Rattus norvegicus: one gene and its partners. The protein of the gene in region 6 interacts with the protein of the main gene of each other region in a pairwise test. Links are inferred from orthologs where the notes say so. Each region holds a gene or a part of one and is shown on either strand. Other genes may lie near its edges. The genes, in order: Psmb8, Lsm4, Clic1, Psmb5, Lsm2 and Lsm1.

Region 1 (3,969 bases), on a different chromosome or scaffold from region 6:
GCCAGCTCCTCAGGGCCGGGAGGATGTCTGCCCAGCAGTGATCACAGAGTGGCCTCTCGGTACTTGTGCAGCAGGTCACTGACGTCAGTGCTCTCCACTTTCACCCAACCGTCTTTCTTCATGTGGTACACTGTGAGTGATTGAGAAAAGAACATGGCGTCAGGCCTTTCTTCAGCAAGCAGTGAGTCTCTGCCAGGATGATATGGTGTAAGCAGCAGTCCCTGACATGAGCATTAAGCACCCACACCCCGCGCCCCCACACACAGGCTGCAAACCTCTGTCTGGGACTTCAGTGTTCTCACATCTGACAATCTCTACTCGTCTCCCCCGAGTCTCCCAATCTGAGCTCACCCCCTTCTCCCAAGGGCTGGGGGAGCCGTGGCTTCCCCAGGTGCTGTGGGGAGCACCCGGCTCTTACTGTTGACAACTCCTCCAGAATAGCTGTCTCTGTGGGTAGCATAAACAATAGCTCTTCGGGCAAGGTCGTAGGCCTCCTCAGGACTGAGATCCTGCCGGTACCCACTGTCCATCACCCCGTAGGCATAGGTGTTCCCGCTGCCTGTGGAGAACATCTGTCCCGAGAGCCGAGTCCCATTGTCATCTACGTAATAAAGTCCCGGTCCCTAGAAGATGAGAAAACATACCGAGCTGACCTTGGAAATGGTTTATTGATCAGGTGTGACTTGCGGAGAGCGGGCAACCTAGTATCACCACCACAGAAACATTGGCGCACTTTAAGCGGGCTAGAGAGGATGGCTCAGCGGTTAAGAGCACTGACTGCTCTTCCAGAGTTCTGGAGGCTCGCAACCAGCTGTAATGGGATCTGATGCCCTCTTCTGGTGTGTCTGAAGACAACTACATACATAAAATAAATAAATAAATGTTTTTAAATAAAAACCTGTAACAATGTGTTTATTAGAAACAAAACAAAAGACAGGCCACACTTCAGTAAACGTCAAAACCTGGACCAAGCACAGGGGAGGGGAGGGCTCAATGGGTAAGAGACCTCTCACCCAGGCGGGCATAGGGGCAGGCCACCCACCTTCTTGTCCCAGCCGCAGATCATGCTGCCCATGGAGAGGCCCATACCCCGGTACTGCAGCATCATGTTGGAAAGTAGCTTGGAGGCTGCAGACACGGAGATGCGTTCCCCATTCCGCAGATAGTATAGCCTGTGGGGGGAGGAAGGAGGCCTCAGGGGTAGCAGGTGAGCATTCCTTCCCTCCCATAGAATGAGGGAGAAGGGATTGTAGAGGTGTGTGTTTGGAAGGTATGAACCCGTGCGACGTAAGAATAAAAAGAGATTTAGGATCTAGAAATCTCTGAACCACATTTTTAAAAAGCCTAGTGAATGGCACCATCCTTTCGGTTAAATAATTGCCAGATTATCTGGTTTATAAACAGGGACACAGGCTAGGGTTTGGGAGATTTTTTAATCACACAAAGGCTTTAAAAACCTTATGATCACCACAGCAGACCACCGAGTGGGTGTAGGGGACATGGGGGAGGGGCACCAAACAAATGATTAAAACCTGCCCACCTGCATTCCTTGGCCAACAGCCTCTCCCAGTACTGACAGTCGGCTGCACAACCAGACATGGTTCCAAGCAGGTAAGGGTTAATCTCGATCACCTTGTTCACCCTTATGGTAGCTGAAAGAGTTTTGAGATCCAAGAAATGAGCCCCAGCTCTCCCTGATGCACTCTAACTCAATGCCCGCTTAGGTGCAGGCCTTAAGCTCTGCTGAGAGGGCCTGGCCACCGGAGCACCGGGGACTCACCAATGTAACTTCCTGCGGAGGCCCTGGAGTCCACCGCCACGATGACTCCATGCTGGAACTTGAAGGCCAGCGTGGTTGTGCCGTGCGCCATTTCAATCTGAACCTTCCTTTCCTGGTCATCACCAAAGGACCTTAGGAATTCAGTGGGCTGAGAGAGGGAAGAGGCCTCAGTTCTAGGAGGCTCCCGGCAGGGTTTCGGGGTGAGGAGGGGTCCGCAGACCCTAGAGGGCAATGTCTCAGAAGAAGGGAAAGCAGGATCTAAGCCAGCTTTCTGCCTTCGGGAACACGGGAGCAAAGGCCATGGTAGCCGACTTCAAGGTGTTTCCTGATCCGTGGCTCCTTCGGTTCTCGAAAAGCACATTTTAATAACGTATTCTCGTTTTACGGTAGAGGGGCTTGAGGCCTAGGCCACCTAACGTGTCCTAGGATACATAGGGAGGGTTGCTGAGGCCAGGTTAGCCTCTCAAGTTCATTGGTCTTCCAAGACAACTGTGCAGTCCCTGTAGTCGTTACTCGTGGGTCTGTGAAGGCATGGCGAGTTGTGCATGGTATCTTGGGGTGGGCACCAACCATCTTCTCAGTCTCTCTGTGGCTCCTCCATGTGTGTGTCTCTCTCCCTCTCTCCCTCCCCCACCCCTTTCTCATCCTCCCTCCTTCCAGCCTTCCCATGTTAACTAACTTCAGGGCTGGCCTGGATGCTGCTCTTCTGAACAGCCCCTCCATGCTTCCTCACCTCCTCAGACCCAGGCAGACAGTCCTTCCTACGTGCCGCCACCACCACCACCCACCCCCTGCATCTCTCAAGAACCCCTACAGTCCTCACCTGCATTCCCCGGGGAAGCGCGAGCTCCGGAGCTTGCACGGAGAAACTGTAGTGTCCCGGGTCCGAGCGAAGCCCGCTTCCTGCATCCACGGCAGCCCACTCGGGCCGCTGCCCCCGAGGAGCGCCGCACAGATCCAGTAACGCCATGACGACTTAGCCCCGGAGATCCGTCGACTCTCGGACAAGGAAGTGAAAGCGAAAGCCACAGCACCAAGAGGAGGGAACCAGTCCCCCACCCCCAACCCCTGCCCTTTCCGAGTAGAGCCCAATTAACGGGTGTCTGAACTAAAAATATGTTAGGGACAAGTTTTCCTGATGCCACGTCGATGAAAACCAGCTAGAGAGTGGGCTGTGGGATAAAAGAAGAGGTGCGCCTTCGGAGGCCACCTAGCAGTGGGGTACTTGAGGACTCACAGTCGGGGCGAGGGGCATCTTCTGGGAACAGCTGAGGACTGGATAGGGTCCTGTCACCTTAAAGAGGTTCTCTAGAAAGTTGGAACCCAAGAGAAGCATTGAGCAGATTCACCTAGGCGTGCGTCCTGGGGATGGGGGCAGCACTTAAATGAGCATCGTTTTATAGAAACTGGAAAATGCGATAAATAGTTGCACGGGGTCTTTAAGTCCTGAGACGACCAGGGGAAAAAAAATGGGGAAGGACGAACCAAGGAGAGGGCACAGTTCGGGTCTTTCTATGTGTCCTTTCTAGGGCCCCTCTCGGTCCAACAGTCTCACTACCCTGAGGCAACCCACGTGGACGCTCCCTTCTCCCTGGGCTGTTCACGTCGCGCAAGTCAGAGCTGAGCGCTCCTTCCTTGAATCCTAAACCCCACCTCTCTTTCCAACCTTTGCGGACCTTATCTGCCCAGCAACTGCTGACGTCACGCCACCGGGCCCTCCCTGTATGGAAGAGATTTACTGGCTAATCCTTTCCGTTTCATTAAGATTACTCCGGCGTGTGCGGCTGAGGAGAAGGTGAGAGGTTCAGAAAAATCAGAGCCAGCGAGGTAATCCAGTCTGGAGTTCTGGAGTCCCCCACCCCCACCCCCACCCCGCTGCGCTGCCGCGCCTCCTCCAGCCTCAGCGAGGAAGAGAGGGGCTCCTAGATGCAGCTGCTGATGCCTTGGAGTGCGGGGACAGAGGGGCTGCCGCCTGGTCCTGCTCAGCACTAGGAGTCGGTGGGTGGGTAGGGAAGAGAAATGAGAGCGCCAGGAAGATGATGGACCCGGCAGTAAAACAGAATTCTGAAGAAGAACGGGACACTGGGCTGTGTGTGGGGAAGGGTGCTGGCTAACTCATCGAGCAGTTTGTGGGAGCTAAGAAACAGGAGAAACCACGGTACAAAACACCAGTTTTATTATAAATATCG
Region 2 (2,920 bases), about 54 Mb from region 6:
TTCCAACAGCATCTTCTGCTCCCTCTGGGAACCAGGTATGCATGTGCTGGGGACACACACAGATGGACACACACAGATGGACACACACACACACACACACGCACACAGTCTCTCTCTCACTTGCACTCACACACGTCCCATGGTGTGTTCTCCCTAGGTGCACTTTCCCTGCAGTGTGCTGGGTTTACTCAGGGTCAGAGCTGTTCTGCTTGCTGGAGCAGCCTGCCAGCCGTGGCCTTAACCTCCCACACTCTTGCCTGTCCCCGAGGGTCAGCCATCACAGGCTTGGCTTTTTAAGGGCTTTGTAGCCCCAGCTGGCCTAAAACTTCTGGCTCTCCTACCTCTCTGCCCTCTAAAAGTGTTGTCTGCTGCACTCTCACCTCTGCTGGCAGGACACACAGACAGCCCCACACCCAGGGAACAGCTTCCTCTGGTGAGACAACCGTGCTCAGGGATTAGGACTGTAAGTCGGGTCCGTGTAACCAGAGGGATGGCTGGCTCCTTCTGTGGTGTTTGCCTTTATTTTTTCCAACAGAAAACGTAGGGGGTGGGGCTGGGAAAGGACAGGTAAACCACCATGTGCGGAGCCTGCAGCTCCAACATGAAACTCAAACAAGCCTGGAAGAAGCCAGCCCTTCAAAGGACATCCAAGGCTTAACAGTCAACTCAGACTGGGAACCTTCCAGAAACTGAGTAAGTGGCCAGTCAGGGATTTCACTGGATCAGACGCCAAGTGGGGCTTCACGCAAAGGCGCCCGGAGGTCTCCTCACCCACCTTCCTGGACTCAGTTCAGGCTGGGACTGCTCACTGCTTGCCTGCCTGCCGCCCTGGCTTCTTCTCCGGCTGGCCTCGGCCTGCACCAGGGATGCCACCCCGGCCCCGGCCACCAAACACACCTGCACAGGACAGAAGAGGTAGAGTAGACACCAGCTTCCCTGGGCAGGGACAAGGATCTTCCCTTCTATGCCCTACGCCACTGTGCAAGGGGCCTGTGGGAGATGCCAGGTTATACTCAACCTGGGAAAAGAGCCCTCCCCTCCCCAGCCCAACAGGAGCCCACACCACTATGTCCTCCATGGAGACTGTACAGGGTGCAGAGAGGAGAGTGTCCAGGTATCCCTCCCTTCCCCACCTCGCCCTCATCGTGACCCTACCTCTGCCAGCGCCACCCATGCCTCGGCCTTTCTGCTGCTTCTGCTGCTGCGGTCCTCCTCGCCCTCGGCCCTTGGCGGCCTCTTCCCTCACCATGTCAATGATCTCATCCGGGATACGCAGGTACTTGATGGTGCTGCCTCGGATGTAGCACTCGGGCATCCTCCAGAACTTGTCACCGTCCTGTGGAGAGGGGAAGTGTCACAGGCAGGCACAGTCCATCCAGGCCAGCCATGCACCTTCCCAGCGTAACCACTCACCCTCGATGTGCAGATCACTTCTCGAAGGTTGATGTTCATCCAGTTGTCGCAGCTCACCAGGTGCCCGTTGTAGGTCTCCCCATTCTTCAGCTCCACCAGCTGCAGGAGATCCCGTCAGCCTAGGCCAAGCAGCCAGGGCTCAAACACACCCGGCTTCACATCCCAAACTACAGCTTTCTGTGCAACTAATCAACCTTTGAGGCTGGGCTGTCATTCACCTGCAAGTGCTGTGATGAGCAGGCACCACCCAGGTTCCCTACCTAGTGTGTGGACAGAGACAATTAAAACTCCACACTAGGTAGGCATGGCGACACACACCTGTGATTCCAGGACTCTGGTGGCTGTGACAGGAGGATAGTGAGGGGACAATGGGCAAGCCCAGTCTGGTCACCTATAGGAAGAATATTACACAGCCAAGAAAAGGATGACTCAAAACCTCTGAGTGACACGGAGCCAGCCACACGCTCCTCACTCAGAAATGTTCACAAGATGCAAAGGCAGGTGCAGAGGGTAGGTGGTCACAGGACACAAGCAGCCAGGGCTTGGGGTGAACTTGACATGGGTGCTGACAGGTGTAAGGCTAGGCTCTGGCTGTGTGAAGTCTAGGGACACACTGCCTATCAGAGGCAGCGCTCCTGTGGTTCCTCCAGTCCCGTAGCATTCAGGGCCAAGTCTTGGCTACGCAGCCATACTGCTGCTCCTTTTCAAAAAAAAAAAAATGGTTCAACCAGTGGCAATCCTCCTGCTGCAGCCTCCCAGGCAGCTGGGATGACAGGTGACCTGTCTGTGCTGGGGACTCTTGGGATGGGACAGGGAATACATGGGTTGCACTGTGCCCCAGTTTCTTCCTGACACTACTTTTAAAAGATTTTCCTTAGACATTTTACTTTGTATTGCATTTCTGTCTGTGTGCAGAGAGGGAAGCCATGACTCCCTTCCACCATCGTGTGAGTCCTGGGGATTGAATTCAGGTCCTGCAGCTTGGCAGCAGGCACCTCTACCCACTGAGCCATCGTACCAGGCTTCAAGCGTAAACTGCAAAGGACTAGGGTGAGGGCACATGAAGGGAGGTGGCCCAGAGTAGCCTTGCTTACCATGGGGTGATTCTGGGCTGTCTTCAGCAGCGACAAGGGAAGCTGGAAGGCAAATGTCAGTGTGAGGAGTGTCCCCCAATTCAGGGACAACCTGGGCATGGCTACCCAATGCACACGGCTGTGTGACCTCGCATCATCCCATTCTACAGGTGTTGGCCACCTGGACATCCCGGACCATTTTGGTCATTTCTCCACAACTCCTGTCACCTAGAAACACAGAAGGGGGCACAGTCCAATGTGTGGAGGTAGCAACCTGGTAGGTTTTCTGAGGCAGAGCCTTGTCATACAGCCTATGCTGGCCACAGCCTTCTGAATGCCCAGGGCTGCACACCTGCCTGGCATTTCTGCTCCACACCCTGTACCTGTGCGTCCAAAAGGGATGATTTGAGTCCCCCGGGTCCCAGGTGGGAAGG
Region 3 (4,148 bases), on a different chromosome or scaffold from region 6:
GCTCACGGGGGCTCCTGGTGCCCCAACCCTAGAATCTTCTGTAGGACCCAAACCCCTGACCCACAACACTCACTGTCATTGAGGGCCGGGTTTGAGTTCTTGATGTAGGCAGAAAACTTGGCAAATATGTCCAGCCCCGAGGTGTTGGATTCGGGGTTCAGAGCAGCCAACTTTGGGTACCTGGAAGGCAGAGGGATAAGGTGAAGTCCTTTCTGGGGGGGACTCTGCCCTAAGGCTGGCCACCTGCCTCCCCTCTTCAACTTTTGTTCCGAAAAGCCTCCCAGTTCCCCTTTTCTTTCCGAGTGTCCCCCGTACCTGGGAGGGCACAGCACGGCCTCCAGGAACTCCTCGATTTTGTTGGTATCTGTGTGCACTTCGGTGCCGTAGAGCAGGAACGGGAGCTGCCCACCGGGGCAAAGCTTCTGTACCGTCTCTGTCCGTCTGGAGAAGGGGCCACGTGTCAAGGAAGGAAAAGGGGGGACCAGAGACCTCGGGATGTAGGAGAAGTAGATTTGCTCCAGACAAGCGAGACAGGTTTAAGGTAGAAGGGGGTCACGTGGGTGCGCATGCGCATACGTGTGCACATGCGTCTACATAAGGGATGTTGAAAGGGGCAGGAGGGGGCCCACCTCTTGGTGTCCACGGTGGTAACGTTGAAGGTGACTCCCTTGAGCCACAGCACCATGAACAGTCTCTGGGAGAAGGGGCAGTTCCCAATCTTGGCGCCATCACTCCCAGCCTGAAAAGCAACGGCACCCCAGAGTTAGGCCTGGTGCACCTCATCCTTACCAGACCTGTTCTCTGAATCTCCTGCTAGTCCTGACAGACACTGCTAAGACGTCTAAGCCACCCCCAGGGCCGAATTATTTTCCCCTTTGGGCCTGGATCAGCAAAGGTAGGCGCCGGTGGCATCCCAGTGATTGACAGGGGGGAGGAGGCAGAGGAACAGTTAAGTCTTGGCTAGCTTTGAGAATCAGGATCCAAAAGGTGGAGAATAGGGTACTTGGTGGGGCTGGAATTGAATACTAGATCTTCTCCAGTGGAGCAGAGAGGTAGGGCAGGGTTTGGAAACCGGGTCCCCATTCTCTAAACCTCTATTCAAGCTGTTTCTGGAAGCTGGGCTGGTGAGCCAGAGGACCTAACCTCACCTTAGCGATATGGAGGGCCTAACAAAGGGGGCAACTCTCTAATTGGATGCAGGTGACCTCATCCCCCAAGGGACACCTCCCCCTAGACTGAGGGTGATTCATTTCTGTGTCTTCAGGCCTCAGCAGCTTCCTTCCCGGCAAGGAAGTGGGGGCAGGGATCTGTACTCACAGAGGCCTAGGCAGCTACTGACACCCTTCCAGTTCCCCAAATCCTCACTCTTCTCGTTCTTTGATTCTCTGAGATCCTCCTCACAGGACACAGGGCCAACATCTCCACAGCATCACCTCACTCAGGGTAAAAATAGCCCCTGGAGGCGAGTGTGAGGTGGGGACCACACCTAAGGGGCGGACCTAGGCTCCAGTTCTCTTCCCAGGGCCAAGAAACTGGGAAAGGCTGCCAGGGAAAACCCAGAGGGGAAAAAAAAGCATAGAGATAAACAGGACACCCAACACACAGACAAGACGAACCAGGAGTGCAAAGGGAGGCGGAGAAGCAAAAGGGGGTGCGAATGTGCACCCACTGGGAGGAGACCTGCCCGGAGAGGAAGGGACCGCATGGGGGTATGGGGAAGGGTGATGCCGGAGTGGCCGGGCCTGGGCAGAGGAGGAGAGCTGCAGCCACCGGTTTCTGAACCCAAAAGCCCAGGACCATCTCTCCTTGACCACACCCACGGAGAGGATGGCATGAAGGAGGAGGGCAGTGTGGGGGGGTGCTTTTTCTTCCATACCCATCAGCCCCGGTATTTTAATCTAACCCAAGGAGTCTCCTGTCCCCTTTGGAGCTCTCCTCTCTTCCTAAGTAACTATGGCTAAACTTTAATCTCCTTCCTGCCTCACAGTCTCTAGCCTCCCTTAGCTGGAGGGGTGGGTGGGGGGATAGTCATCTCAGCCATTGATTGTGCTGCTTCGTGAAGGCTCTTTGCTTCCACTCTGCGACACACTCATCCTTCAACCCTTCTAGATTCTCTCTCTCTCTCTCTCTCTCTCTCTCTGTCCCATCTTTCTTTCTTTCATAGGGCCACACGTCCTAGCCGATTCTTCTTCTTGAACCCCACCTCTGTCCCTTTCTCGGTCCTTCAGTCGTCTGCACCCCCCCCCGAACCCCGCACCGTACCCCATTCACTCTCTCACTTCTGAAAACCCCATTTCTTCACCTTTCTCTCCTTTAAGCTGCTGGAAACCTCTTCCATAAACTTTTCAGAGAGTCTGGAACTCTCATTACCGTCTCACAAGTCACCCCCACCTCCCAGCAAAACAGCGCCAGGGCTAGGGGTGGGGTCAACTAGGAAGGGGTTGGGGAGTTAGAGCTGGAGCCCAGGAGAGGGGAGGATTGGCTTGCAGAAATTCTGAGAGTGGCCAAAGAAAGAGAAGGTGTTCTTACCTTCACGAACAATTCGACCTGAGGTTGTTCTTCAGCCATGGTTGCGTCGGGGACCAGGAAGCAGCCGTCGCTGGGGGAACTGGGAGGGGCCCGGGCAAGGGAAGGCGGGTCTCACGGCCCGGGATTCTCTCCTCCAGACTCAGAGCTGTCCCTTCGGCGCAACCTAAGTCCGATCAGACCCTTTAGTTCTCTCCAACGCGGCTTACCCACCGGCTCAGTGCACCCCACACCCAGCTGCTCCACCTCGTTCCCTCCCGTTTAGCTCAGGGAGCAGCTGACTCACCGACCGGCCCCGCCCTGGACTTGGGGAGGGGACATGTGGGGAGGGGACTCGGTGATCGTGGGAGTGGGTCCGGGACAGAGGGCAGAGGTCTCGGGGATCTCAGGGATAAAGTGTTAGGAGGGAGGTCCCGGGGCTCCCTCGATGCCCTGACCATTCCTAAGCACAGCACCACGTTTGTGCCTCAGTTTCCTCGCTTCTTTAATGAGAAGGGTGGCCACGTTCAAACAGGGAAACTTGACACTAGCGAACTGGCCCCCTCCGTCCCCCACGAGGGTGCAGAAAGGGAGTCTGAGGATGCAAGGGTTCTGCGTTCTTTTCACTTCCAGTCTTGTCTTCGGGTTTGCTGGGAGGGACTGTGCTCTGTATGTGTGGAGGGGGATTGGGAAGGAGTTAGTGAGGTTAGGAATACGGATGGGTGAAGGGCACTCGTAGGCACAGGCCGGGAGAGACCAGGAGGCCTGATGCTGGCGAAACAGGAAGCAGAGCCCAGGCTCCACGGCAGGGGGCGGTCCTCTGAAAGCCTGTCAACGCTTAGACTTCCCTAGCCTGGGCCCCTTACCCTCCTCTCAGTGGTGAAGGTTGCCTTGGAGACCTATCCTGATACTAGGATAGCACTGGGGCTCATCCTGGGGTGGGTGGGATGGCGACTGGTTCTGTCACAGGAAGTAAAAAGCAAAGGTCAGAGAGATTAGTGTGAGCAGAGTCAGGAAAAAGTAACTTTCCCCGGGAGGCTCGATTTTGGAGGTTCTATCCAACTGTAGTATAGAGATATAACTTGACTACCTATTTTTTTCCCCCACTTCGGTATCTTTTAATTACCCATGACTTTACGTCAAGCACGGGCAAATAAAAATACGGGACGCCTCGCGGATTTGTGTGACATCCTTGCCCAGGGGCCCTGCTGATCTCTGTAACGTTCCCGTTTTAGTGTTTGTGTTGCTGAAGTGAGAGCTCTATTACCACCAATTTTTAAAAATATCTAAAAACAGGTCTGCCAATGTCTAACCTCCACACTCTAAGTTTCTCTACTGTCCAACTACCTTTTTTTTCTACTCAGTCTAAAATATATATATATGTGTGTGTGTGTGTGTGTATACATGCATACACACATACTCATATATATGTGTCTGTATGCATATTATATATGTGTGCATATATATATATAATTTGAAGAAAAATATGCTGGACTTGGAACGACTGAGAAACAAAACTGGACTGAGAACTGAAAGAGACAAGGGGGGCTGAGGTGGAGTGATGCATGTAATGCTGGAACAGAAGTTAGTGGTTTCCTCTCGTGCTTCCTCTTCTGAGAGTGTTCTCCTCCCTGGGGGAAGGC
Region 4 (4,086 bases), on a different chromosome or scaffold from region 6:
TAGAAAGTAACTCTACAGTGGTGAGCCATCTTTAATCCCAGTGCTCTGGAGCCAGACCAGGCGTGAGGGGCCCAGTTTGAGGCCAGCTTGGTCTACACAGTAAATTCCAGCTCAAGCCATGACTATATATGGAGACTATTTTTCAAAAAACAAACAAACAAACAAACAAACAAACAAGGGAGTTTGAGTAATGGCTCAGTGGTTAAGAGCATCAGCTGCAGGGGTTGGGGATTTAGCTCAGTGGTAGAGCGCTTGCCTAGGAAGCGCAAGGCCCTGCGCTTATGTGTTTACTTTATGTATATGAGTGCTCTATCTGTATGTACTCCTGCATGCCAAAAGAGGACATCAGAACTCATTATAGATGGTTGTGAGCCACCGTATGGTTGCTGCTGGGAATTGAACTCAGGATATTTGGAAGAGCAGCTGATGCTCTCCCCCACCCCCCCCACTCAGAGCTGGGGACCGAACCCAGGGCCTTGTGCTTGCTAGGCAAGCGCTCTACCACTGAGCTAAATCCCCAACCCCATAAATCTTAAAAAGAAACAACAAAACAAAAATCTGGTGTGTGGCTCAGGCCTGCTGTCTCGTTAGTCTGAAATAAGGCAGGAAAACCTGGCCAGTTAGAGGGTAGCCTGGGCTATCTACCTAGTGAATTTAAGAACAATCGTACGCCCATCTTTAAAAAACCAAAAACCAAAAACCAAAAAGCCACAACAACAAAACCCAAACTATGGTATATAAATGCTATCAAAAAAAGAGGGGGTGGGGTTTTTGTTGTTGACCACACTATTGCGGCTGAATTAAAACCATGGGGAAATGCCCTGAAAACAGTTATTTTAGCCAGTATTACCATGAGTGGCCTTAAAGAAAACGACTACAGTCTCCTTAACTGGGTTTTCAGAAATAGGGACGCTGCTTATAACCTGAACCTGGGCCTTGGGCGGTGAATCCAGAATCCAGCTTAGATTCTCAAGCAGTCACGCCCTTCTCAAAGATGGCCGAACTCGCTTCCCTCACTCGACGTGAACGTTCCAACCACTCTCTAGGAATTTGAAGTTAATCTTAGCCGTACTGCTTCGACACCAAAGTAAAAATGACAATCTTAACCATTTAGCGTTCTCCTTCGCCCTTCCTAGCTGAAAACAGTCGGGCGCTGGTATTTGGAGGAGTGGTTGCCCGGAGTAAAAATGGCGCCTCCTCCGCATACTTAACTGGGCGTGAAGCTGTGACGTCGCGGCGTTGCCCGTCCGTTCTTTGGCGGTGTTCTCGGAGGCAGTTCCTGTTGCCCTTGCTAAACATGGCGCTGGCCAGCGTGTTGCAGCGGCCGATGCCGGTGAATCAGCACGGGTTTTTTGGACTCGGAGGTCGTGCAGATCTGCTGGACTTGGGTCCGGGGAGTCCTGGTGATGGGCTGAGCCTAGCCGCGCCGAGCTGGGGTGTCCCGGAGGAGCCACGAATCGAAATGCTTCATGGAACCACCACCCTGGCCTTCAAGGTACTCAGACAGCTCGCAATTCTCCGGCATCTCAGCGAGTCGGGCGGAGGTTCGGTCCTCTCATCCCGATCCTTAGCGGTTTCACTGTCTCAAAACTTTGAGAAAGGGGTGGTGGGCGGGGATGGGGAGCAGTGAGGGAAGGAGACGGACAGCGTGGGTTGACTCCTAGGCAACCCCAACTCAGGCGCCCTATCTGGGAACAGTAACAGCGGACCGTGGTGGAGGGAAAGAAAGCTATTATCGCTGTTCTCCCAAGCTTTTTATAAACTTGGAGTCCCCTCCGGGGAGCTTGATGAAGTCCAGGGACTATTGCAGTGAGTGCCAAACAGTTAGGGTCCCTGTTCCAGCTCTGCAATAACTGGCTCTGGATCTTAGGCCAGTCTTTAAAGATTTATTCTTATTTTTGTGTTTTGCCTTTATGTATATTCACCACGTGTGTAGTGCTCGCAGGGGCGCCAAAAGAGGGCATCGAATTCCTTGGAACAGGAGTTACAGACCTTTGTGAGCACTGGGAACGGAAGCTTTGAAGAGCAACCAGTGCTAAATCAGGGATTGCTCTTAAACCCAAATAACATCTAATATATGAAGTCGATTGTAAAACTAAAGGGATGCCAAGCCAGATTATCTTTCTGTATTTATACAAAAATAAGTATTGGGAGTATTTGTGGTCTTATGTGGCCTCTTTTTTTCTTGACCTTAATTAGTTTCAGCATGGAGTCATTGTTGCAGCGGATTCCCGGGCCACCGCAGGTGCCTACATTGCTTCCCAGACAGTGAAGAAAGTGATAGAGATCAACCCTTACCTTCTGGGCACCATGGCTGGGGGTGCAGCGGATTGCAGCTTCTGGGAGCGGTTGTTGGCTCGACAGTGTCGAATCTATGAGCTTCGCAACAAGGAACGCATCTCGGTCGCGGCGGCCTCCAAACTGCTTGCCAACATGGTGTATCAGTACAAAGGCATGGGGCTGTCCATGGGCACCATGATCTGTGGCTGGGATAAGAGAGGCCCGGGTGAGTTGTGCTGTGGTCCTGTGATCCTTGACACCACGGTTGGAGGGGTTGAACGGATCGACGCATTGAGGGCTTTTAATGGGTGCGGAGGATGGAAGTGTTCTTAGCCCTTCCTCCCTTTCCAAGGAAGGCATTGTATAGCAAAGGACAGGGAGTCAGACTTGCTGTGTCACTGACTGCTGAGGTAACCTTTATCCTTAGCCTGTTTCTTCATCTGTCAATTGGTTGAGTAAACCATCACCATGGTTAAGTGCGGTACATAGAAAGCAATTAGTATAATGTCTGCGCGACCGTTCTCCTCCTTTCCCGTACAATAATAAGGACAAGAAAACATTTGTACTTGAGAATTAAATTGATCGATAAACTAGCTAGCATTTTTTGACAGGACAAATTATGAGCTACCCACATTATTTTAATATTTCTCATGAGTAGCCAGGCCGTGGTTATCCAGTACTCAGGAGGCAGAGGCATGTGGCTCTCTGAGTTCGAGGCCAGCCTGGTTTACAGAGGGAGAGTCAAGGACAGAGAAACCCTGTCTCTAAAACAAAAAAAAGAAAAAGAAATTCTCATGAATTGTTTCCTTTTATATGCATGGATGTTTTGTCTGCTCACCATGTGTATGCCTGGTGCCTGAAGAGACCAGAAGAGGGAATTCCAGGGGTAGAATATAGTCACAGAGGGATGTGAGCCACGTGTGGTGCTCAGACTCAAACCCAGGTCCTCGGCGAGAGTGGCCTTGGGGCCATCCTCCAGCCCCGTTTTTTAAATTTTTAAGTTATTATTTATTTGTTAGTTTATAGTGTCTGCGTGGACAGAGCATACATGCAGTTCAGAGGATCACTTGTGGGAGTTGGTTCTCTTGTTCTGTGGATCCGGCTCAGGACATCAAGCCTGGTGGTAGTCGACAACTACATGCTCTGTGATCGTAGACCACTAGGGAGGTTGAAGCAGGAGGGTCAAGAGTTCGAGGCCAGCCTAAGCTATATAGCAGTAGAACAGCCTGAAGCACACAGAGACATTGTATCTCAGAAGTAGATATAACTAGTGGGCTTGATTTATTAGTTGATTTTTTTTTTTTTTTTATGAAATACCCAAATTATTTCTCAGTATTTGGCAGTAGCACCATTTTAAGTGTTGATGTCAGTTTCATGCAGTTGGTAGCCACAGGCGACAATGCTCAGCTATGGAGTTGCCATTTCTGTTCTGTTTCTTCTTTGACCTAAAAGGAGACAACTATCGCAACCCTGGGGTTATATTTTAAGTGTTATCTCCCACCATTCCTGAAGTTCTGTGCTTGAATTATCCAGCATACTTGCCTTTTGGAGTTGCCAAGAGAACAGGAGGGATGGTTTACATGCTGTGAGGAGAGATGAGTGGTGTGAACAGGAGGGATGGTTTATGTGCTGTGAGGAGAGATGGGTGGTGTGAACAGGAGGGTTGGTTTACATGCTGTGAGGAGAGATGAGTGGTGTGAACAGGAGGGATGGTTTACATGCTGTGAGGAGAGATGAGTGGTGTGAACAGGAGGGATGGTTTACATGCTGTGAGGAGAGATGAGTGGTGTGAACAGGAGGGATGGT
Region 5 (4,300 bases), on a different chromosome or scaffold from region 6:
GGGAGCAAAGAGGAGAGAAGCATTCATTTATGCTGGAATCAGCAGAGGGAAAATCAGAACTACAGTGACAAGGGGGGAGGAACTCTAGGCCCTGAAGCCAGCAGGCAGCCCCTGTAAGTTCTGAGGTGGAAATGATAAAGCACCTCAGACTCAGTCTGTCCTCACACCAACACATCAGAAGCTCGTAGTCAGGCCGGGCCTATGCTCCATTTAATATTAGTATTTCCACTTTAAGACAGGTTCTCACTTGGCCCAGGCTGGCCTCCAACTTCTGGCATTCCTACCTCCACTTCTGAAGTTCTAGAACTACAGCTAGGAGCACTACTCATGGCCATTGCCCACTGGGTTTCCCTGTGGGGTTCTAGAACTAGCTCTGTAGATAAGGCAGGCTTCAAACTCCCCCCTGCCCCTGCCCTTGCCCCTGCCTCCTGAGGGCTAGGTTTAAAGGTTTAAGGGATGAACAGCCATCAACCACTCAGCTAATCACCTTTCAAAGTAGTATCATCCAGGACTTATGAGAGGTCATGTAAGGTACCAAAACTTACACAAATGAACTGGAATGTCAGCCCTGATCTGCACGACTCCCAGAAACATCCATTATTTTTAAATACTGATTTTTACTATTTGTGTGTATGTGCATGTAGTTACCCACAGAGACCAGAAGAGGGCATCAGATCCATTGAAGCCAGAGTTCTAAGGAGTTGTATTCAGCCCAACAAACTGTTGTCAATCACCTAATGTAGCTGCCGGGAACTGAACTCTATTTCTCTGGAAGAGCAGCAAGCTCTTTTTAAAGCACCAAGCCATCTCTGCAGCTCCAATAGCTGTTACTTGTAAACATTTATGCTTTGGAGCCAGAGACCTACATATACATGGCAGCTGAAATTAACTATTATTAATGCTACACTCCCCCACCCTCTAGTCCTGAGTACAGTTATCAAAGCCACTGCTCCCACACCATGTTACCCATCTTATATTTACCCACTGCACGGAGGTGCAGAGGAATTAAAATTTTAATTAACAACCCCAGATCCTGCATTTTACTTCTTCACTCTCTACATTCTACGAACCCCCACTGCTCTGTGGAAGAACACTTGTGTGGTCTGACTTTTAGACTAGAAAAAGTCTTAGCTACTCTCCACCCCGGCCTGGGCCAGCCTCTCACTTGCCCACACTGGCCATAACCATCCTGCTTGTCAACACCACGTTCTGTCTTAGAATCAAGGCTCTCAAGCACTGACCTGTGCTCAAAGGTTTCAAGAGTCTACAAATAAAAGGATTTTAAAAAGAAACACGAGGGCTGGAAATGAAGTTCACCTGTTGAGCATGCCCATCCAGTACATGAAAAAAAAAATAGACATCAGTGACACCTATAATTTTCTAAGCACTATTAAGAAAGTAGACTCTAGAATTAGGGATTTAGCTCAGTGGTAGAGCGCTTGCCTAGCAAGCGCAAGGCCCTGGGTTCAGTACCCAGCCCCGAACAAAAGAAAAGAAAAAAGAAAGAAAGAAAGAAAGAAAGAAAGAAAGAAAGAAAGAAAGAAAGTAAGTAGACTCTAGGGGCTGGAGAGATGGCTCAATGGTTAAGAGCACTGACTGCTCTTCCAGAGGTCCAGAGTTCAATCCCAGCAACCACATGGTGGCTCACAACCAACTATAATGAGATCTGATGCCCTCTTTTGGTGTTTCTGAAGTCAGCTACAATGTACTTATGTATAATAAACAAACAAACAAACAAAAAAAGAAAGTAGACTCTAATGGATGATGTGACAAGAAGCCATAAACATCTTTCCAGTGATACAGCATTTAATCCACTCCTGAATGGTTAAGAGCAAATGATACAGCAGGGCAAATCCTAGCACTCAGGAGACAGAGGCAGGCGGATCTGTGTGTTCCGGGACATCCAGGACTGCACATACATGTTACTTAACTGTATCTCACTGTGTAACTCTGGCTGGCCCTGGACATATGTAGACCAAACTGTCCTTGAATTCACAATTCTGCATCAGCGTTGGGATTACACGCATGTGCCACAGCACCAGGCTCACTCTTAAACTAATCTTTACACTCAAGACACAAGATATTTCTTCTGTGTTTTGCCCCTCTGCTCTAAAATAGCTTTGTGAACAACAACCACGAAAACGATCAGGACACCAGGCACCTCCCACCTTCCACCAACTCGCTGAAATAAAGACCTACCTCAGATCATTCTTGAGTTCCACGACTACATCCTTGCCCACAAGGGACTTGAAAAAGGAGTAGAAGAGCTATTGGAAAAGAGGGAGGAACTATCACATGAAAAGGGACAGGGAGGAGGAACCCGTGACGGCATTTGAAATACCAGTCCTTTTGGCCCCACCTAGTAGTTCTCAAAATTTCACCACCATCAACAATCCGTTAACAGAGACTGCAATTCCTGGGGCCACAGAGAGACAATAACTGCGCTGCACCCCTCGATGCCAGAACCCACTCTCCGAATCGACCACCTCCCTGCTCGAGACCGCTTCCCAACCGCACCCTCACAAAATCCTGATCTCCAGCACGGAAATGCAAGACTAGCTTTCCGTTCTCCCCCGGCGCCCGTGGGCTTTCTCTTGGACTTGCTGGAAGTTTCCCCAAAAAAACCATTGGTTCCAAGCAGTCTCCTCACACAGGGTGTGGGCCCTGAGGTTGTAAGGAAAACCCTAGGGCTTAGCTACAGCCCAAGGCAACAAACACTAGAGCGCAACCAAGACCCGAACAGTTCGAACCGCCCGCCGCGGGCGGCGGCGCTCCCTTTTGACGTCACGGTACCCACCATGGTGCTGGCGCCACGAGGGGCGGCCTGGACCGCGAAGGAAGGCGCCGGGGACTGCGGGCCGGAGGCAGGGCGGGAGCCGGAGCACGAGCCCGCGCGTGAGGCAGGACAGGATCACGCAGGCGCAAGGGGAACCGCGAAAACCGCGGCTGAATCTGGGCTCAAAGGGAGCGGAGTAGGGCAGAGCAGAGAGGACCGCCAAACCGGGAGGAGGGCGGGACTTCCTGTCTCCCACTTCCTCCCAAGGAACTCCTCCCTCCCGAGCGCGTGCGTGGGCCATAGCAGCTGCGCGTTGGATGTAGTTCGCCTCCCTGATAATTTTTTAGATTCTTCTCTGTGCCGGGTGACTTGCTCATACTCTACGCTTTCTACTGAGAATTATTGGGAAGATTGAGAAAATTATGACTTGCATATTCTTTTAAAAAAGATTGAGTTATTATATATAAGTACATTGTAGCTGTCTTCTGACACACCAGGAGAGGGCATCAGATCCCATTACAGATGGTTGTGAGCCACCGTGTGGTTTCTGGGATTTGAACACAGGACCTCTGGAAGAGCAGTCAGTGCTCTTAACCGCTGAGCCATCTCTCCAGCCGTATTATTTTTACTAGTAATTAAATGGGAAGTTGCTAGGTTATAGCTTCTGTAGATATCATGTCTGGATAAATAGGAAAACACTTGCTATTTTGTCTTCTCGAGGCTGGCTGTTGGTGCAAGGCAGTCATGGTACACAGGTGAGAATTCTGAGAGACTAGGCCTGCTGATTGCATGATACCAAAAAAGTCGGTTTCCTGGGGGTCTGGGTGAAGCTTGGAGCATGCCTGCCTGTGTAGGCCAGAGATGAATGCTGGCTGTTCTTTCCACTTACTTAATATTTTAAAATTTTATATGTGTGAGTTTTTCCTTGCACGTATATCTGTGTACCACATGTGCAGTGTTCCCAGACACTAAAAGAGTGTGTTGGATCCTCTGGAGTTATAGTTGTTAGCCACCATACGGGTGCTGGGAATCAAACCCTGGTCCTGCCGAAGAGCAACATATGTCCTTAACGACTTAGCCATCTCATTTTCTGAGACAGGATCTGCCACTGATCCTGGAATGGACAGGTTCATTCAGCTAGACTGACTTGCCAGCAAGACCCTAAGATGTGTCTTCCCTCTCTGTCCTACCTACCCCACTCCACCTGTGCACATCACTGTGTTCAGAGCTGGATCCATCATGATTACCAAGCAAGATGTTACCGAGTTTCAACAGAAACTTTAACACCTGAATCTAAAAGAGGCTGTCACTGGTTAGAAGCAGTCAGTACATTTAGCAGCTGCTTCCTATGGGCTCAGGGTGCCTGAGAATTAGAAAATATTTTTCCTGGCAGGTGTAACGTTCTGTAATTCCAGTCATGTAGGCAGCATGAACGAAAGACATTTGAGGCAGACCTGCCTCAAAACCAAAAAAAAAATTGTTGGATATGCTCAACTTACACAAATTCAAGTACTTTGCCCTTAT
Region 6 (3,500 bases):
TCATGAGGCCAGGTAAGCATTCTAGTTTGGTCCAATGCATTCAATTTCTCTAGTAATTTAGCTTAAAAAAATTTATTTAAGTTTTTTTTTTTTTTTTTTTTTTTTTTTTGACCAGAGTTTCTCTGTGTAGCCCTGGATAGCATAGACCTTTCTTTGTAGACCAGGCTGGCCTTTGCCTCCCAAATGCTAGGATTAAAGGCATGTATCACCATGCTTGAATTAATTATTTGGTTTAATAAAAATACTACTTCATTTTTCTTACTTCAAAAATATACACTGGGGAAGGGGGGTGGTTGGGGAGAGGGAACACCCTTATAGAAGGGGGAGAGGGGTGGGGGATTATGGACAGGAAACCAGGAATGGGAATAACATTTGAAATGTAACTAAAAAATATCCAATAAAAAATACATACTGTAGGAAAGTTATACTACAGACACTTTAAAATTACAACTCTTGTATAGAAAGAACACAAATACTTTGATGAATGTTGTAAGATTTTCAGATGTAGGCCAGTCTATGTGTTATCAGAAGCACTGACTCTATGTATCTTCTGGAACTGTGTTTTTAAATGTTGTGTGTCTTTGCATGTGTGAAGATGTAAGGACAGCTTGGTGGAGTCTGTCTGCTTCTTCCACAGTCACTTGAGTTATGGGACTTCAAAGCTCTGATTGTCAGCCTTGCACCATCTTCCAGGCCTAAGAACTGTTTTGTTCTATGGGATCACCCAGAGCAAGGGATCACCCAGAGCATGGGATCACCCAGAGCATGGGATCACCCAGAGCATGGGTGTGCAGGCAAGCATTCTGCTGCGTAGCTGTATTGTCAAACCAGGCACATCTATGACTTAGAACCAAACCAAATTCATAATGAAAATAGTGACTACATTTTCTTTTCATCTAACACAGAATATAATTAGTATTAATGTCATAAATATTTAATAGCCAACTTTGTATGTAGAACTATATACGAGCCTCATTATCTGTTTACCCTTAAAATGTATAGGTATTATTTATATTTCTATAACATAAAAAACCTATACAAAGTAGCAAAGTATGGCTGGGCTCTCCCCAAATAAGCCCAGACACGCTCTTGTTTCCTCAGCAAAAGCTGTCCTAGAATTCCCTCTGTAGCCCAGGCTGCCCTCACACTGTTCTCTGCTAGTGAACACGGGATTACAGGTGTGCCACTGCAGCAGGCTATCTATATTCCTGTTTCTGTTCCTGTGTTGGATTTTTTTTAAAGATTTATTTTTATTTTAGGTATGTGAGTACACTGCCGCTGTCTTGGCATCAGATCTCATTACAGATGGTTGTGAGCCACCATGTGGTTGCTGGGAATTGAACTCAGGACCTCTGGAAGAGCAGTCGGTGCTCTTAACTGCTGAGCCATCTCTCCAGCCCGAAGGATTTCTTTTCTAAGGATTTTGTTTTATTGTTTGTTTATGTGTATAGGGTGTACCTGCAGGGGCTAGGCAGGGGTTCAGACAGTCTAGAGCTGGAGTTACAGTCAGTGATGAGATGCCCTGTGTGCGAACTGGGAATGGTTTGGTTCTCTAAAACAGCAGCAAGCACTCAATTACTGAACCATCTCTCCAGCTCCTGTAATGACTTTTGATGAGAAGGTTTAGAAAGACACTCATCAAAAACCTCTGCCCATGCTTCGGTCTGGATGCTAACTGACACATGCACGCCTCCAAGGTTGCAGAGCTCAGCACTTGTGGTATCAGCTGGAGGACTCTGACCAGATTAGAAGCCACGCAAGTTGCATAAGTCACCTGGGTCAAAAGTTATCTGCTAAACTATATAATCACCCAACCCTCTCCTGGATGAAGAAAAGCCAGTGTTCTTAGCTCTCTTCCTAGTTTTCAGTGTGTCACTCACTGAGTGACTCATTCCCGTGACTGGGATCCTCCATCATCAAGGCAGAATCCAGGCACCTCTTTTTTTCTTTTTGGAATTAAGGTCTTGCCCAGGCTGGCCATAAACTTGAGATCTTCCTACCTCAGCCCCCATGCCACCATGGGGTACCATTAGAGACTACTTATGCAATACAATGTTTTTCTAAATAGATTCTGGCTATGGTTCTGAGCTTTAGTACATAATTTCTTCAGACTGATTCACATAATCATCTTTTTAAGAAGAATGTTTACGTGCAACCTGTTCATGCTTAGAACCTACAGATGGCATCAGAACCCTCAAAGCTTAAGTTACTGATGACTGTAAGTCACCATGTGGCTGCTGGGAAGTTAACCCATGTTCTCTGCAAGAGCAGCAAGTGCTCTGAACTGCGAGCCTCTTTCTAGCCCCACCACGAAACTATTTTAAAGTGAGGCATTAATACAGTTTACAGCATTAAAGTGAGGGGTTAATACAGTTTACAGCATTAAAGTGAGGCATTAATACAGTTTACAGCAGTACTTGGGTGGTACTGCAAGTTCATGCACATCAACAAGTAAAGGCCGACACAGGGCGTCTTTACCTTGTTCTCTCAGTTTTTGAGTCAAGGAACCTGAACTCTTGGTGTGTGCTAGACTGGCTGGCCTCTGAGGTCACAGAGCTGTCTGTTTTCACTTTCCCGTGCTGCGATTACAGCCTTGGACACCATGCCGGGCTCTGAGTGCTGGGGATCCAAGCTCAGGCTCTCATGGTTGTACAGCAAACTGCCATCTGCCTAGCCCAGTGTGTTGGAGACAGGGACTCATGCAGGCCAAGCTGAATTCAGTCACTACACATGTGTGCTGCCCCTGCACCGGCCATGTTAATCTCTGTGCTGTTCACATCTTAGTATGTGTGCTACACCAGCAATGTTGTTTTCTATTGGGTGAAGCCAGTAACATTTACTAGTGAGATCAAATCTTTAAAACGCCAAAGGCCACAGACTAACGTTAATTACCTTCTTCAGTGTTGCTCTAGCAACTACAGCTTCCCTACTTGGTGGCTTCCTGTGAGAAAATGTGGTGAAATTGGAAAGCAGCAGCCAGCATCAGTGCCCAGATCCACAGCAGTTTAACAGTCTCACTTACTATTTCTCCTAGTAGGACCACATTTTCTCCTCTGACCACGAAAATCCCTCGAGGAATATCACCGTACTTTCTGCCCACGTGAATTCGCTCCACAGTCTGATGGAGCACTAGGTTAGCTATAAGCATAAAAGAAGAAACAGATATTCAGTTCATATTGTTGACTATAAAGGTCTATAACTCAATTACTTAGTTGTTTTTTTTTTAATTTCAGCAATAAGCCATTTATGAAAATTTGGTTTCTTTTTTGGGGGGCTAAGGGGCAGCGTCCTACTCTAGCCTCAGCAGGCCTGGAAATCATGATATAATCCAGGCCTTCCCAGCATTTGTGGTGATTCTCCTGCTTCAACTTCTTATACATGCTGAGATTGCAGGCATGTTCAGTTTTAGGAGACTTTCAGACAAGGAAAGAGTCTTTCTGACTATGTTTTGCTAATGAGTGACTGATGGTAGGAATAAGTTACTTCTGTATCATTTCACT

The links.
Region 1: the proteins of Lsm1 (region 6) and Psmb8 interact in binary tests that used the Homo sapiens proteins (3 or more experiments, as listed by UniProt). The link is inferred for Rattus norvegicus from reciprocal best matches to the Homo sapiens genes LSM1 and PSMB8.
Region 2: the proteins of Lsm1 (region 6) and Lsm4 interact in binary tests that used the Homo sapiens proteins (3 or more experiments, as listed by UniProt). The link is inferred for Rattus norvegicus from reciprocal best matches to the Homo sapiens genes LSM1 and LSM4.
Region 3: the proteins of Lsm1 (region 6) and Clic1 interact in binary tests that used the Homo sapiens proteins (3 or more experiments, as listed by UniProt). The link is inferred for Rattus norvegicus from reciprocal best matches to the Homo sapiens genes LSM1 and CLIC1.
Region 4: the proteins of Lsm1 (region 6) and Psmb5 interact in binary tests that used the Homo sapiens proteins (3 or more experiments, as listed by UniProt). The link is inferred for Rattus norvegicus from reciprocal best matches to the Homo sapiens genes LSM1 and PSMB5.
Region 5: the proteins of Lsm1 (region 6) and Lsm2 interact in binary tests that used the Homo sapiens proteins (3 or more experiments, as listed by UniProt). The link is inferred for Rattus norvegicus from reciprocal best matches to the Homo sapiens genes LSM1 and LSM2.

The regions. Positions count from the first base shown.
Region 1 is NC_086038.1:4,654,232-4,658,200, forward strand, and holds the start of Psmb8 (proteasome subunit beta type-8), read right to left. Parts: upstream 2,801-3,969; 5' UTR 2,751-2,800; coding exon 2,604-2,750; intron 1,929-2,603; coding exon 1,781-1,928; intron 1,653-1,780; coding exon 1,541-1,652; intron 1,173-1,540; coding exon 1,043-1,172; intron 856-1,042; coding exon of another isoform or gene 673-855; exon of another isoform or gene 650-672; intron 624-649; coding exon 419-623; intron 131-418; coding exon 42-130; 3' UTR 1-41. UniProt on the Homo sapiens protein: The proteasome is a multicatalytic proteinase complex which is characterized by its ability to cleave peptides with Arg, Phe, Tyr, Leu, and Glu adjacent to the leaving group at neutral or slightly basic pH.
Region 2 is NC_086034.1:18,788,967-18,791,886, forward strand, and holds the end of Lsm4 (U6 snRNA-associated Sm-like protein LSm4), read right to left. Parts: intron 2,550-2,920; coding exon 2,508-2,549; intron 2,114-2,507; coding exon of another isoform or gene 2,034-2,113; exon of another isoform or gene 1,540-2,033; intron 1,533-1,539; exon of another isoform or gene 1,513-1,532; coding exon 1,414-1,512; intron 1,337-1,413; coding exon 1,156-1,336; intron 898-1,155; coding exon 806-897; 3' UTR 501-805; downstream 1-500. UniProt on the Homo sapiens protein: Plays a role in pre-mRNA splicing as component of the U4/U6-U5 tri-snRNP complex that is involved in spliceosome assembly, and as component of the precatalytic spliceosome (spliceosome B complex).
Region 3 is NC_086038.1:3,775,568-3,779,715, forward strand, and holds the start of Clic1 (chloride intracellular channel protein 1), read right to left. Parts: upstream 2,801-4,148; 5' UTR 2,569-2,800; coding exon 2,530-2,568; intron 740-2,529; coding exon 630-739; intron 442-629; coding exon 316-441; intron 181-315; coding exon 74-180; intron 1-73. UniProt on the Homo sapiens protein: In the soluble state, catalyzes glutaredoxin-like thiol disulfide exchange reactions with reduced glutathione as electron donor. Reduces selenite and dehydroascorbate and may act as an antioxidant during oxidative stress response.
Region 4 is NC_086033.1:32,044,580-32,048,665, reverse strand, and holds the start of Psmb5 (proteasome subunit beta type-5), read left to right. Parts: upstream 1-1,286; 5' UTR 1,287-1,297; coding exon 1,298-1,495; intron 1,496-2,199; coding exon 2,200-2,506; intron 2,507-4,086. UniProt on the Homo sapiens protein: Component of the 20S core proteasome complex involved in the proteolytic degradation of most intracellular proteins. This complex plays numerous essential roles within the cell by associating with different regulatory particles.
Region 5 is NC_086038.1:3,848,866-3,853,165, forward strand, and holds the start of Lsm2 (U6 snRNA-associated Sm-like protein LSm2), read right to left. Parts: upstream 2,801-4,300; coding exon 2,798-2,800; intron 2,629-2,797; coding exon of another isoform or gene 2,518-2,628; intron 2,268-2,517; coding exon 2,200-2,267; intron 1-2,199. UniProt on the Homo sapiens protein: Plays a role in pre-mRNA splicing as component of the U4/U6-U5 tri-snRNP complex that is involved in spliceosome assembly, and as component of the precatalytic spliceosome (spliceosome B complex).
Region 6 is NC_086034.1:72,981,582-72,985,081, forward strand, and holds part of Lsm1 (U6 snRNA-associated Sm-like protein LSm1), read right to left. Parts: intron 3,139-3,500; coding exon 3,023-3,138; intron 1-3,022. UniProt on the Homo sapiens protein: Plays a role in the degradation of histone mRNAs, the only eukaryotic mRNAs that are not polyadenylated. Probably also part of an LSm subunits-containing complex involved in the general process of mRNA degradation.